2 linked regions of the Arabidopsis thaliana genome follow. The protein of the gene in region 2 interacts with the protein of the main gene of each other region in a biochemical or structural test. Each region holds a gene or a part of one and is shown on either strand. Other genes may lie near its edges.

Region 1 (6,810 bases), on a different chromosome or scaffold from region 2:
ACTTTTTTCCCCTTTGTGACGGTTTAAACATAAAACCGGACACGTTTTGATGAACCGGTCAAAGGTCGGTGTGTAACGATCCGACCAGAACCTTCTTTCTTGTGCAAAGTATCTCTAAAACGTCAAACCTCATTATATAGAGGCCCATTTACTGAATTTTGAGAAAATCTGAAACTTTTTTAGATTTTGGACGTTGTGTAACGAATGATGAATTAGAAGCAAAGTTTCAAACCATATTCATATTTCTTGTTGCTAACATAATGAATCGTATGAATATGGTTTGAAACTTTGCTTCTAATTTATTATCATAGAACTCAGTCTCATCCAACCGCACAGCTCCAACTAAACTACAAATGTGTTTCTCAAACAAGACACATTGCAAGTGTCACACACACAAGTAAGATCATCAATTCACCAGAATCATCACCAATGAAGACACTTGAAATCTCTGGTCTGAGAAAACTTGTAAAACTTTGCAACAAATTCAACAAAACAACAAGATGAATTCGAATCACACTTTTGTTACACTAAAATTTCTAATGAGACTGAGTCCTATGATGATTATTAGTTATTTGAGGCATCACTAAAATATATTTTTGATCCCTAACCAAGAGTATATCGATAATCAAAATTCTACAATATTTTATATTCTAACTTTCCATAACGAGAAAGTTTATCGGTGACAAGCGTTACTAACCAGAAATGCAGTGAAGAGAGATCATACATAGTGAAAATCATAAAAATGAAAGCCTCTTCCATAGGCAGAAACTTACACAAACATTTGAGAATTCACTACTTAGACATTGTCTCTTGTTACTACCGAGTTAAAAAGATTTACATTACTCTCCTCACTCCATCAACTTCTTTGAATTGTTCCATCTCTAACCACCATACGGTAAGCTGCACAACACCATACATTAAATCAATAACTTATTTTTTAGAGTGATTTTGTAGATGATTAGATTTGTGCCAGAATTTTCAAAAAACAAACCATAAATAAGTGGTGTTTTTTATGACAGGTAATTTTAACAAATAGCATGATATCATGTAAAATATACAAAATAACATGTTATTTGTTAGAATTACAAATATACAACAAATAAACCAAATTTATTTACGATTCTGTGTCATCCATATCTTGCAATGCCAATAAATATGGACAACATACATGTATATGGTCGTTTAAAGTATATATTTTTATATTCTTTGTCTCAATTTAAAAACAAAAAAAAAATCATGTAAAGCTATCAACTCAAAAGAATGTAAAAAGAAAGGGTGATTAATTGGTTACCCGAGCCTAAGGGAAGTGTCGGAGCTCTCGGAGTCAACAGGCGCTCCGGTAGAGTTTCCGGCGTTAGTAATAGACTCCGACGACTGTCCTTCCTCGTACACAGCAGCGTTCTCCGATTCAGCACCACCGTGTGCATGCACATTGTTACATATCTACACGTAACCAAAAAAAAATATTCCAAATTTAACATTAAACTGATAACAAACATACAAAATTCAAAATAATCAAGACTATATATATATCCACGTACTTGCATGCCAAGTCGCTCGTTCTCTTCCGTTAGTTGCGTTCCCTGCAAAAATCAAGACAAAACATATCATTAAGTTCTCTAGCTAAGTATTTGCATTTTGTGTTTTTAGTGGCACCATGTGTTTTGAATTTCTCTAGAGATCAACTAACTACGAATGAGCAAATCTTGACATGAAGCCTCGACCAAACTATATATCAAACAAGAATTAGATATATATTCGTTTATGGTTCCCTGTTTCAAAAAACAAAATGAAGATGAAAAAGAAAAAACGCACCAAATCCATGCATGCACACTCGTAGACCTCTAGGACCCTAGAGACTAACTAGCTACATGGTTACCTTTAGTTTTAAAGACATTTTTAAATCGCGCTATATCACTTGGTTTATTCATTTATCTCACAGTATGATCAAACATATGTGTTGTAGACAACTGGGGATTAAATTTAGGGGTGTGTACGTTAATGGTAGACAAAAGAAAGGGATTTGTTATCAACAGAGAGGGTAAGACACATACTTGCTGCCTCAACCGCTTGTTCTCATCCATCAATTGCATTCCCTGAACACCAAAAAAAAAGAGAAGAAGATGAAAATTTTGGATCTTGAAACTGCCAAAATTAATATTGAAATCATCAAGTAAAGAATAAACGTTATTTTGGTTAATTATTACCTTTTTCTGAAGTTCGCTGATCTCACTCATAATCTTGTCACTCTGCAAACACATCTCGTATTAGTAAATTGCATACTCGTAAGCTTAGAGAAACTTATACATGGTATCAAGTAATTTTCTTAACAACCTTTGTTTCAATCACACGCGTCAAACCAGTTTCAAGGGCCTTCTCTAGCTGCTGAAGCTCTTCAATGTCAAGTCCTTGAAGTTCCTCTCCTCTCATTTGCCTATATATGATCATGTAAACACACAGTTAGAAAATGATAGTGGTTGATCAAAAAAAAAATTAGTTAGAAAATGATAGTTAGTTCAAAAGTCATAGAATATACATATATAACGTACCTTAGTCGGTGGCTCTTGTCCGCAATTTCTTTACTCATTCGGGCGTGATCACTGTTCTCAACCAGCTAACAGAATAAAACATTGATTTAAGCTCTTAATCATATCCATAATGATCTAAAGCTCAACTCTCTACACAGGACTACTCTACATGACTACTACATGGATCGAGTCTAATTAATCATATGCAATAATATAAAGTTTTGTACCTATTAATACAAAGTTTTAAGAGATTCTTGGTCAATAAATACAACAATCTAAAACATATTGGTAATTCAACGGAGTAATACTCGATTTTGCAAGTTACAGAAATCGGGAAAGAAAATGTGTGGTCGTTTCGAGAATGTAGCTAACCTGTAACTCAAGAGATGGCTGATCAAGCTTCTCCAAGTTCTTTGACTGCAAGTTATGCCTCTCTAGGACTTCCTTCATGCTTCATAATATAAACACATTCCAATAAATAACTTATTATAAACAACTATACTGTTGATATTAACAATGTGCATATGTAAACACCGACAATATACCAAAATCTAAAATCAAAAGATGCAAACCAAATCCACAAAACACATTTAATCCCAAACATGTACATTATTTCATGTTAACACTATCGTTTTCAGTTACATATATACACAATTATCTGTGAAAGTGTGTATGTCCCCGAAGATAGGAACTGAGCTGATAACTAGTGGGTCAAAAATCCAAAATCGTATCTCTGTAATACGATAAGTCATTTTAGATCCCTAATATCAATAATATCTCTCTAAATGACTTTTCCCAACACTAATAAAGATTCCAACATATCTATACATATACATATATATATATATATTATTTTTAGATTACTTCTTCAAAGGGAAAGCTTTATACATCCACACATATAGATACTTCCTCATGTTATGGTACCCACATATTTCTATATAAATATGACATTGACGGCTTAAACATATCATACCACAATATCTATATACATAGATTTATACATGGTTGACACAAATACCTACTATAGAGCATGTATTTATATACTAATAATATACATATATGCATATCCAGATTTACATCTTTTTGAATATTACCGTAGTTAGATACCTTAATTTATCTAAATACAGAGTTTTACTATACACTTTATATATGTCATTTATGGTCATGATTAATGTTTCTAACAACTATTTTAATTATATAAATAGTTAGTGGTCCTATAAAGATTGATACAGTAAACTCCTATGTATCAGATATACATCTAAAAACTCTTTAAAGTTTTTTGTCTGGATCTAGACAAGATTCCTTCGATGAGTTATGAGAAATCTATAGAGAGGGAAGTTAGAGAGAGAAAGAAAGACCTGGAGCTACAGAACTCGAACAGTTTTCCGGTGGAAGAGAAGATGATGAGAGCGACATCGGCGTCGCAGAGAACGGAGAGTTCTTCAGCTTTCTTGAAAAGCCCTCTTCTTCGTTTCGAAAACGTCACTTGTCTCGCCGTTGCGTTGTCGATCTTCCTGATCTGAATCTTTTCTCTCGCCATCACAACGAACAAAAAAACCCTAGAAGCAAGAGAGAGAGCTTAGGTTTTGATTTTAATGGATCTTTCGAGAACGGGATTGATTTTGATGGATCAAGATTCAAGAATGAGAGATGATTAAAGAGAGAGTAAAGAGAAGAGATGGAGGAGGAGGAAGAAGAAGCCAGAGGAAATAAATTTTGTGAGAGAGAGAATTTTTGCTAAAAAGGGAGACTTTAAAGAAGAGAGAGAGAGTGACAAGACGACTGAAATGGAAAGTAAATCGTGTTCTTTTTGCTAAATTTAGAAGAATAAATATGATTTCAAGACAGTAAAAACCCTAGTTTTTGAAAGATTTGAAAGAAAGAACACACTCAGTCTTTTGTGAGAAGAATTAGATCTAGTCGATGAATCAACAAGGAAATTAGAGAGGATCAAAAGAAAAAAAACTCAAGAAGAAGAAGAAAACTAAAGGAGAAAAAAAGCTAAGGGAATATATTTAATTTTCCACCTCAAAGGTCGAGGAGAGAAGAAGACATGAGAAGGTTTTGATTGGTGAAGGATGAGATATTTTCAGGGAGAGGTTTATTAATTTTATAATACTATCAAGATGATGGGGTTTCTTAAATGATTATTTTTGGAAAGAAAACGATATATATTATATTTTTAGTTTTAGTTTTTTTTTTGGATATTGGTCTGTGTGTGGTGGTTATTGGATATGGTGAGGTAATAGGATTTATAAGTCTCCAATGAGATGAGAGAGAGAAGAGAAGTGTGTGTTTGGGTCAGTGGGGAATTTCTTTTTATAGGGAAGCATAAAATGAGTTGTCTCACTTTGTTCACTTATACTCCTTGTAACTAATTGGTTGGTATTTACTGCAAAAACTAACTAGAAGACCTGAAGAACATCAAGGGCTACAACGTATTTTCATTTTTGTAAATCTACGTACTATATGGTAATGGTACCTCATAACAAAATTCAGAAAGAACAAAATAATATCAACTGTATATTATTTTTATTTATGTAAAAACATTTGGGAAGATGACATTTCAGAATTTTTCTGAGGACAATGTTTTGTTTTTACTGAAAGAAATAAGTTTGTGAGTTCGGCCTTGGTTTGTAAGAATCCAACTCGGAAATGACAAAATAATTTGTTAATTTCAAAGACATTAGTGCAATAATTTTTGAAAATTTAGTAGTCAATCATGTGGCATATAACTTGTCGAAAAATTGTGTCCTTAAAAAAAGAGGTTTGTAACCTAATGAACCATATCTACTCAGATACATGTAGTCCATTATACAATTACAATCTATGCACTAATTTGGAAAGTTTGTCATGCACAAATAAATTTTGTTCAATCCCAGTAACAATTACACACACAATGGGGGTATCAATCATCACTGAAGTATTTTTTTATAAAACCAATTGAATATGTAACTCAAAATAAAATTTAAATGAAATCACTTTCTTACGAGGTTATTTATCATTTAACATTTTAATACATAAGCTCAACATTACAAATCACATATACTTCACCAACGTCAACAACAGAACCAAACATATGATTTCAATCGCCACAATCATCATTCCATAGACTAAAAAGCAATTTACAAAACCGTGATTAAAGGTAAGAAAATAAAATTAAAGGGTTTTTAAAAATAAAATAATGTTTAAGCATACCTTCATACGAAGAAACAGTGAATAGAGGGACCCTCGAGGCACGAGCCAGAGTAAAATAAAAAGTGTCGACCACTAAAATTTTTCAAAGGGACCCAAAACCAGACCCGAAGCAGCCACAAGAAATCTGATTGGGACACGATCCATTGTCCGTACAGAATTTTATTTCTAAATTAAAGTTTTACCCAAATAAAGATACTCCACGCAACTACTACAAACCCATTCTTCTTCTCTTTATTACTCCAAGTTTGCAATAATCTACCCTTCAAGAATACATGTGGCTCGTATCACTCACCCCCTATTTGAGTATTATTTACTCTTCCGACGAAACTCTTGTGTTGTATTATTGCGAATTTATTATGATACTATATGAATTATGAAGTTGCAAACGGTAAAAAAGTCATATGGTTGATGTGATTAATACGGTGTTAAATATAATTATGGTTTGCGTTAATTTACTGTAAACTCTTTTCTTTTCTTCTTTAACTCTTTTCTATCTAATTGGGTAATCAAGCAAATATAGTTGAATTATAATTTGAAATTTTTGTTGACAACAAAATATTAATATGGTTTGCGTTTGTGTTCTACGAGTAATGGAATTATGGAAGTTTTTAAAACAAAAATGTAGTATTTTTTGAAAATTTTGATGACGTATATTAGAAAACACTAGAAAACAAAACCTTCTAGTGGTTAAAGTTGCTAGGAGAATAACTATAAGAGAGGTGGCCTGATCGATATTACTTATTTCGGCATAATACATATTCCTTTCTAACGTATTTTAAACAAAGAAAATCGTTGAGTTTTTTTCAGCTTGGTTTGGTTTCGAAAAAAAAAAAGTTTGTTCACTCACAAAATTATTATCAAGTAATGTTTATTCATATTTGTCATGGTTTGGTAAAAGTAGATTAAATTTGGTAGAACATCCATCAATTGGCGTTTGGAACCGCATGAATCATTTATATTTGAAATTGAATAGTGTTTAGAGGCGCACGTGACACAACTGGTGAGGTCTTTGAGTTTTGATTGGTCAAAGTGTCAGAGTTTTTATGAGTAGACGACTCGTGACCTTTCCCTTAACAGTTCCAAG
Region 2 (5,098 bases):
AATTTTTTTTTTTGCAAAACAAAATATTATAAAAAAAAATATATATATTTTAAACTTCTTTTATGAAATAAAATATTTAGCATAAAACAAAGATAATTTTTATTTTTATTTTTACCTTCGTTAATATCAAATCAAGACTATAAAGTCATTGTACAAAACATCGAACGAAAATTATAACGTAAGCACCATAAAATGAGAAAAATACACAAACTATAGTGATTGACGATGCTTTTGACATATAAGTCTTACTCGTTAACAGATTATTAAATCTATTTTTTTCGTATTTGATCTTACGCTTATGCAAATTATGTTTCTGGATAGCATTTCTTGCTTAAACTTCCATATCGCATACCGTATTTAAAACCATATGCTTCTGATAACAGTTATGAAATATCAACATTATGATACCAAAACTTCCGTATCATAATCACTTTAACTATCTTTGACTTTGTTTTCTCTCACCATTATATCCCGAGAATAAATTATGACGTCTCAGTATAGTATGAGCCATCTTCTGATTGCAATTATATATATATCACATTGTTCTCCACATCATCCAATGATAGCATGTATCCCCAACATCCATGTGTATCTCTTCCAACAAATCTATCTGGATCATATAACTCCTACTTTTATGTGTCTTGGTTTTTAGAGCCACACAATCCTCAACTAGAGAGTTTCCCAAATCTTCAAAAAATCCGAAATAAGTATCAAACAATATCTCAATTTGATTTTCTTCTATAAGTAAAAGAAAGATGAAATGTCAGTAGTGATGACACCAAACAATTTTGGGTTGAGGAACTTCAAAATGTTTTCAAGATAACACCAATCAATTGAAGGGATGGTGAAGAAAACATTCGGACCTGAGTAATCCTTATTATAAATCCCAGAGAAGATGGTAAAATCAGTGATGATCAAATTACTTACCAATATGACGCTCTCTAAAGATGAAGAGAAAGAAACCGTCATCGTTTTCAACCAACAAATTGCTATAACCACGAATGTGTTCTTTAGAGACAAAACCAATTGATGGAGATAGAGTTTGTGAGAACGATAAAGAAGATCGGCGACCAAGGGACACACGATGGAGAGCACTTTGATCGATCGCGTTAGTAGTGAAGATAGAATCGATAGAAAATCGTAACAAAACTTGGGAATCCAGAACCTCATCTTGATAGTTAGAGAGAAGTGTGATGGTGAGCGATCGAGTAAGCGGATAATAAAATCTATAAAAATCAAAGTTCAATCGCTAGTGTCACCTTTTACAGTTGTAACTCCGACAATACAAATTATTTACTTTAGAAGAGAATTAAGAAAAAAAAGAAAAAAAGAGTCGCCGACGAACCGACAATTGTCAGTGACTCTAAAAACAAATATACAAAGATAAAAAACCAAACAAAAAAATAACAAAATTAAATTTCTTTCACGAAATATATTTTTCTAAATTATCAAATGAAAAAATATTTTTTTACGCTCTTTAACAAAACTCTAATAATTAGTTTTTTTTTGTGAATCGATTGTAAAATTTTTTAGTTATGTTGAGAAGAATAACACAATTTTTTTTTCTTTTACATAAAAAACTTATGTGAGTTTTATAAAAAGTAACGTGAGTTACATAAAACTCATGTAGTTTTATAATTTGTTATTATGTTGCTCGTATAAAAATTTATTTACTTAATATTGTAACAAAACAAAACAAATTTTTTTGAAAAAAATCGTCATAAAAAAAAAGTCAATATAATCTTTTTTTTGTCAAACAAGTCAATATAATCTTAGTAGTCGTTGTTGTACAACAAACATCTACAATATACTTTTCTGTCTACCCAAATAATATAATTTTCCTCTTTTGTATTCAAAAAAATAATAATTTATCTCTACATGTTGGAAATATCAAATATAGTAATAATGTTTTTAAGAGAAAAAAAGGAAAAAAGAAAGTAATAAAACATTCTAGAGAGTTCCAAACTCCACAAAACCTCAAACAAAAGCAAACGCAATTTAGCCTCTTCATAAGAGAGAAGTCCTCTCAGAGAAACGGCAGCCACATCAACCAACCCAAACATCGAAAGAGAGACACTTTTCTCTCTCTCTTTCTCTATCTCCTTCCAATCTCTCTAGGGTTTTCGTTACAACGGCGAAAAGATGTTCGGTAGAGGACCCTCGAAGAAGAGCGACAACACTAAGTTCTACGAGATCTTAGGTGTTCCTAAGAGCGCTTCACCAGAAGATCTCAAGAAAGCTTACAAAAAAGCCGCTATCAAGAATCATCCTGATAAGGGTGGAGATCCCGAGAAGGTGAATAATTTCTTAGATCCGCTTAGATTCTCTCGAATTCGATTGTTTGATTGTGTTTTTTTTTTCGATTGATTTGTTGTCTTGTTAGTTTCTTAATGTTGAATTTTGATCCGATCTGATAAAAAAGTTTGAGTTTTGGCGATTAATCAAAAATTAGGGTTTTGATGATATAGATGTGTCTTGCTTTGATAATTGAGTGGTTAAAGTTTGGTTCTTTGTTAGGTTATGAGTTTGATTTGTTGTGTTATGTGTTGATTGCAGTTTAAGGAGTTAGCACAAGCTTATGAAGTGCTTAGTGACCCGGAGAAGCGTGAGATTTATGACCAGTATGGAGAGGATGCACTCAAGGAAGGAATGGGTGGTGGAGGAGGTGGACATGATCCATTTGATATTTTCTCATCCTTCTTTGGTGGAGGCCCCTTTGGAGGTGAGTCTCCTTGGACACTGTACACTTTATGATATCGCAATTGAGAATTTTCGTTTGAATATGTTTCTGTTTTTGAATAGGTAATACCAGCCGGCAAAGGAGGCAGAGGCGTGGTGAGGATGTTGTTCATCCCTTGAAGGTATCTCTTGAGGATGTGTACCTTGGTACAATGAAGAAGCTTTCACTTTCTAGGAATGCTCTCTGCTCTAAGTGTAACGGGTTAGTACATTCGACTCGATCTTGCGTTTTTGGTGTAGCTATATGTGTCCTAGGTTCATAATAATATGAATTAGCTTAAGTTTTGACAGAAACCCTTTATCTCAATTTGTGACCCCAGTTGGTTAAAAGGTTCTGAATTTGTGATTGCAGAAAGGGATCAAAATCTGGAGCCTCCTTGAAATGTGGAGGGTGTCAGGGATCTGGTATGAAGGTGTCTATTAGGCAGCTTGGACCTGGAATGATCCAGCAGATGCAGCATGCATGTAATGAATGCAAAGGGACAGGTGAGACCATCAATGATCGGGACAGGTGTCCACAATGCAAAGGAGACAAGGTCATTCCTGAGAAGAAGGTGCTTGAAGTGAATGTGGAGAAGGGAATGCAACACAGTCAGAAGATCACATTTGAAGGACAAGCAGATGAAGCGGTATCTACTCTCATACATTTACTCCAGCTTTGATTACTAGTATGTTTACTTTTCTTCTGGAGACTAACCTTTTGTTTTATGTTTTTGTGTTGGTGCAGCCTGACACTGTCACTGGAGATATAGTGTTTGTCCTTCAGCAGAAAGAGCACCCAAAGTTCAAGAGAAAGGGAGAAGACCTCTTTGTGGAGCACACACTTTCTCTAACCGAAGCTTTGTGTGGCTTCCAATTTGTTCTGACTCACTTGGATGGCAGAAGTCTTCTCATTAAATCTAATCCTGGGGAGGTCGTGAAACCTGGTACGTATTCAGATGCATCGTCATACTCAGATTTTACAGTTACTATAACTGTCTCTGATTGAAACATGATCACTTATCTTATGTGTTTGACAGATTCATACAAGGCAATAAGCGATGAAGGAATGCCGATATACCAGAGGCCATTCATGAAGGGTAAGCTCTACATCCACTTCACAGTGGAGTTCCCGGACTCGTTGAGCCCAGATCAGACCAAAGCACTGGAAGCTGTTCTACCTAAGCCGTCAACAGCTCAGTTGAGTGACATGGAGATAGATGAATGCGAGGAGACCACGCTCCACGATGTCAACATTGAGGATGAGATGAGGAGGAAGGCACAAGCTCAAAGAGAGGCTTATGATGATGACGATGAAGATGATGACCATCCGGGTGGTGCTCAAAGGGTGCAATGTGCCCAGCAGTAAGTAACTCCTTAGAGAGACTTTGACCCACATGGGTTTGGGCTCCAACCAATTTGTCTCTTGCTTTTTCATTCTAAGTGTATTGGAGTCTTTATGGGAGTTTGGTACGGTTTAAGAATTTGCCCACTTCGGTGGAACATCGAAACTTGTTTTCTCTTTTTCCTCTGACTTTAAAAATTAAGGCCTTATTACAATTTTGTGTTTTTTCTTTATGATTAAATTTGTAGTAATTTAATGTCTAAGAACATATATACTGTGTGTTTTCTATATTGATATGGATTTAAAATTCAATAATTTTTGTGTTCATGCAGAACAAATGCTGCTATATAGTCTAAGATGTTCATATTTATCCTTTTTGTTGTATATGTCACCATGTTTTGGGTGTTAACTCCGATGACATGTACGTACGAACTACAGTAAAAACTCTATAAATTAGTAAAAACTCTATAAATTAGTAAAAAATGTATTAATAATGTTCGGACGACGCAATTTTATTAATTTATAGTGATATTAATTTATTTTATAAACTAATATTTATTAATTTATCTTATAAGTTAATAAAATATTAATTTATAGAAATATTTACGTAAAATATAATATTATATTTTTTAAAAATGTTTCTTAATTTAATTTTCTATATGCTTTGTTGTTTGCATATATAATTATGTCAGCTTTTTATTTTTCTTTGACTTCTTTAATTTATTTTTTGGCAATATCTTGTGACTGTATATTTACGAAATTAACGTGAATGTAAACGTAAACATAAACATGAAAGTTTAATCCAATTTCTCTTTACACAAATCTTAGCAATGCTTTCTCAAATAAAAGATTTTATAAAATCAACTATGACGGATCAAATACGCAAATAGTTATGTGAGTACAATAGAGATCATACCAGTTGTATTTTAAAAAGAGTTGTAATTGTAGCTTGAACAAAAATTTTATATAAAATTAGTTTTAAAATTAGCAAAAAAATTGTACCAAACCAAACCAAAAATTAGAAAATAAAATAAC

What was found.
Region 1: the proteins of J3 (region 2) and SVP form a complex in vitro, tested with the Arabidopsis thaliana proteins (one study listed by BioGRID).

What each region holds. Positions count from the first base shown.
Region 1 is NC_003071.7:9,577,675-9,584,484, reverse strand, and holds SVP (K-box region and MADS-box transcription factor family protein), read right to left. Parts: upstream 4,839-6,810; 5' UTR 4,069-4,838; coding exon 3,887-4,068; intron 2,980-3,886; coding exon 2,901-2,979; intron 2,615-2,900; coding exon 2,550-2,614; intron 2,435-2,549; coding exon 2,335-2,434; intron 2,250-2,334; coding exon 2,208-2,249; intron 2,097-2,207; coding exon 2,055-2,096; intron 1,584-2,054; coding exon 1,542-1,583; intron 1,444-1,541; coding exon 1,292-1,443; intron 901-1,291; coding exon 882-900; 3' UTR 584-881; downstream 1-583. UniProt on the Arabidopsis thaliana protein: Transcription repressor that inhibit floral transition in the autonomous flowering pathway, independent of photoperiod and temperature. Acts in a dosage-dependent manner.
Region 2 is NC_003074.8:15,868,104-15,873,201, reverse strand, and holds J3 (DNAJ homologue 3), read left to right. Parts: upstream 1-1,945; 5' UTR 1,946-2,142; coding exon 2,143-2,295; intron 2,296-2,556; coding exon 2,557-2,722; intron 2,723-2,802; coding exon 2,803-2,941; intron 2,942-3,091; coding exon 3,092-3,368; intron 3,369-3,466; coding exon 3,467-3,665; intron 3,666-3,758; coding exon 3,759-4,087; 3' UTR 4,088-4,571; downstream 4,572-5,098. UniProt on the Arabidopsis thaliana protein: Plays a continuous role in plant development probably in the structural organization of compartments.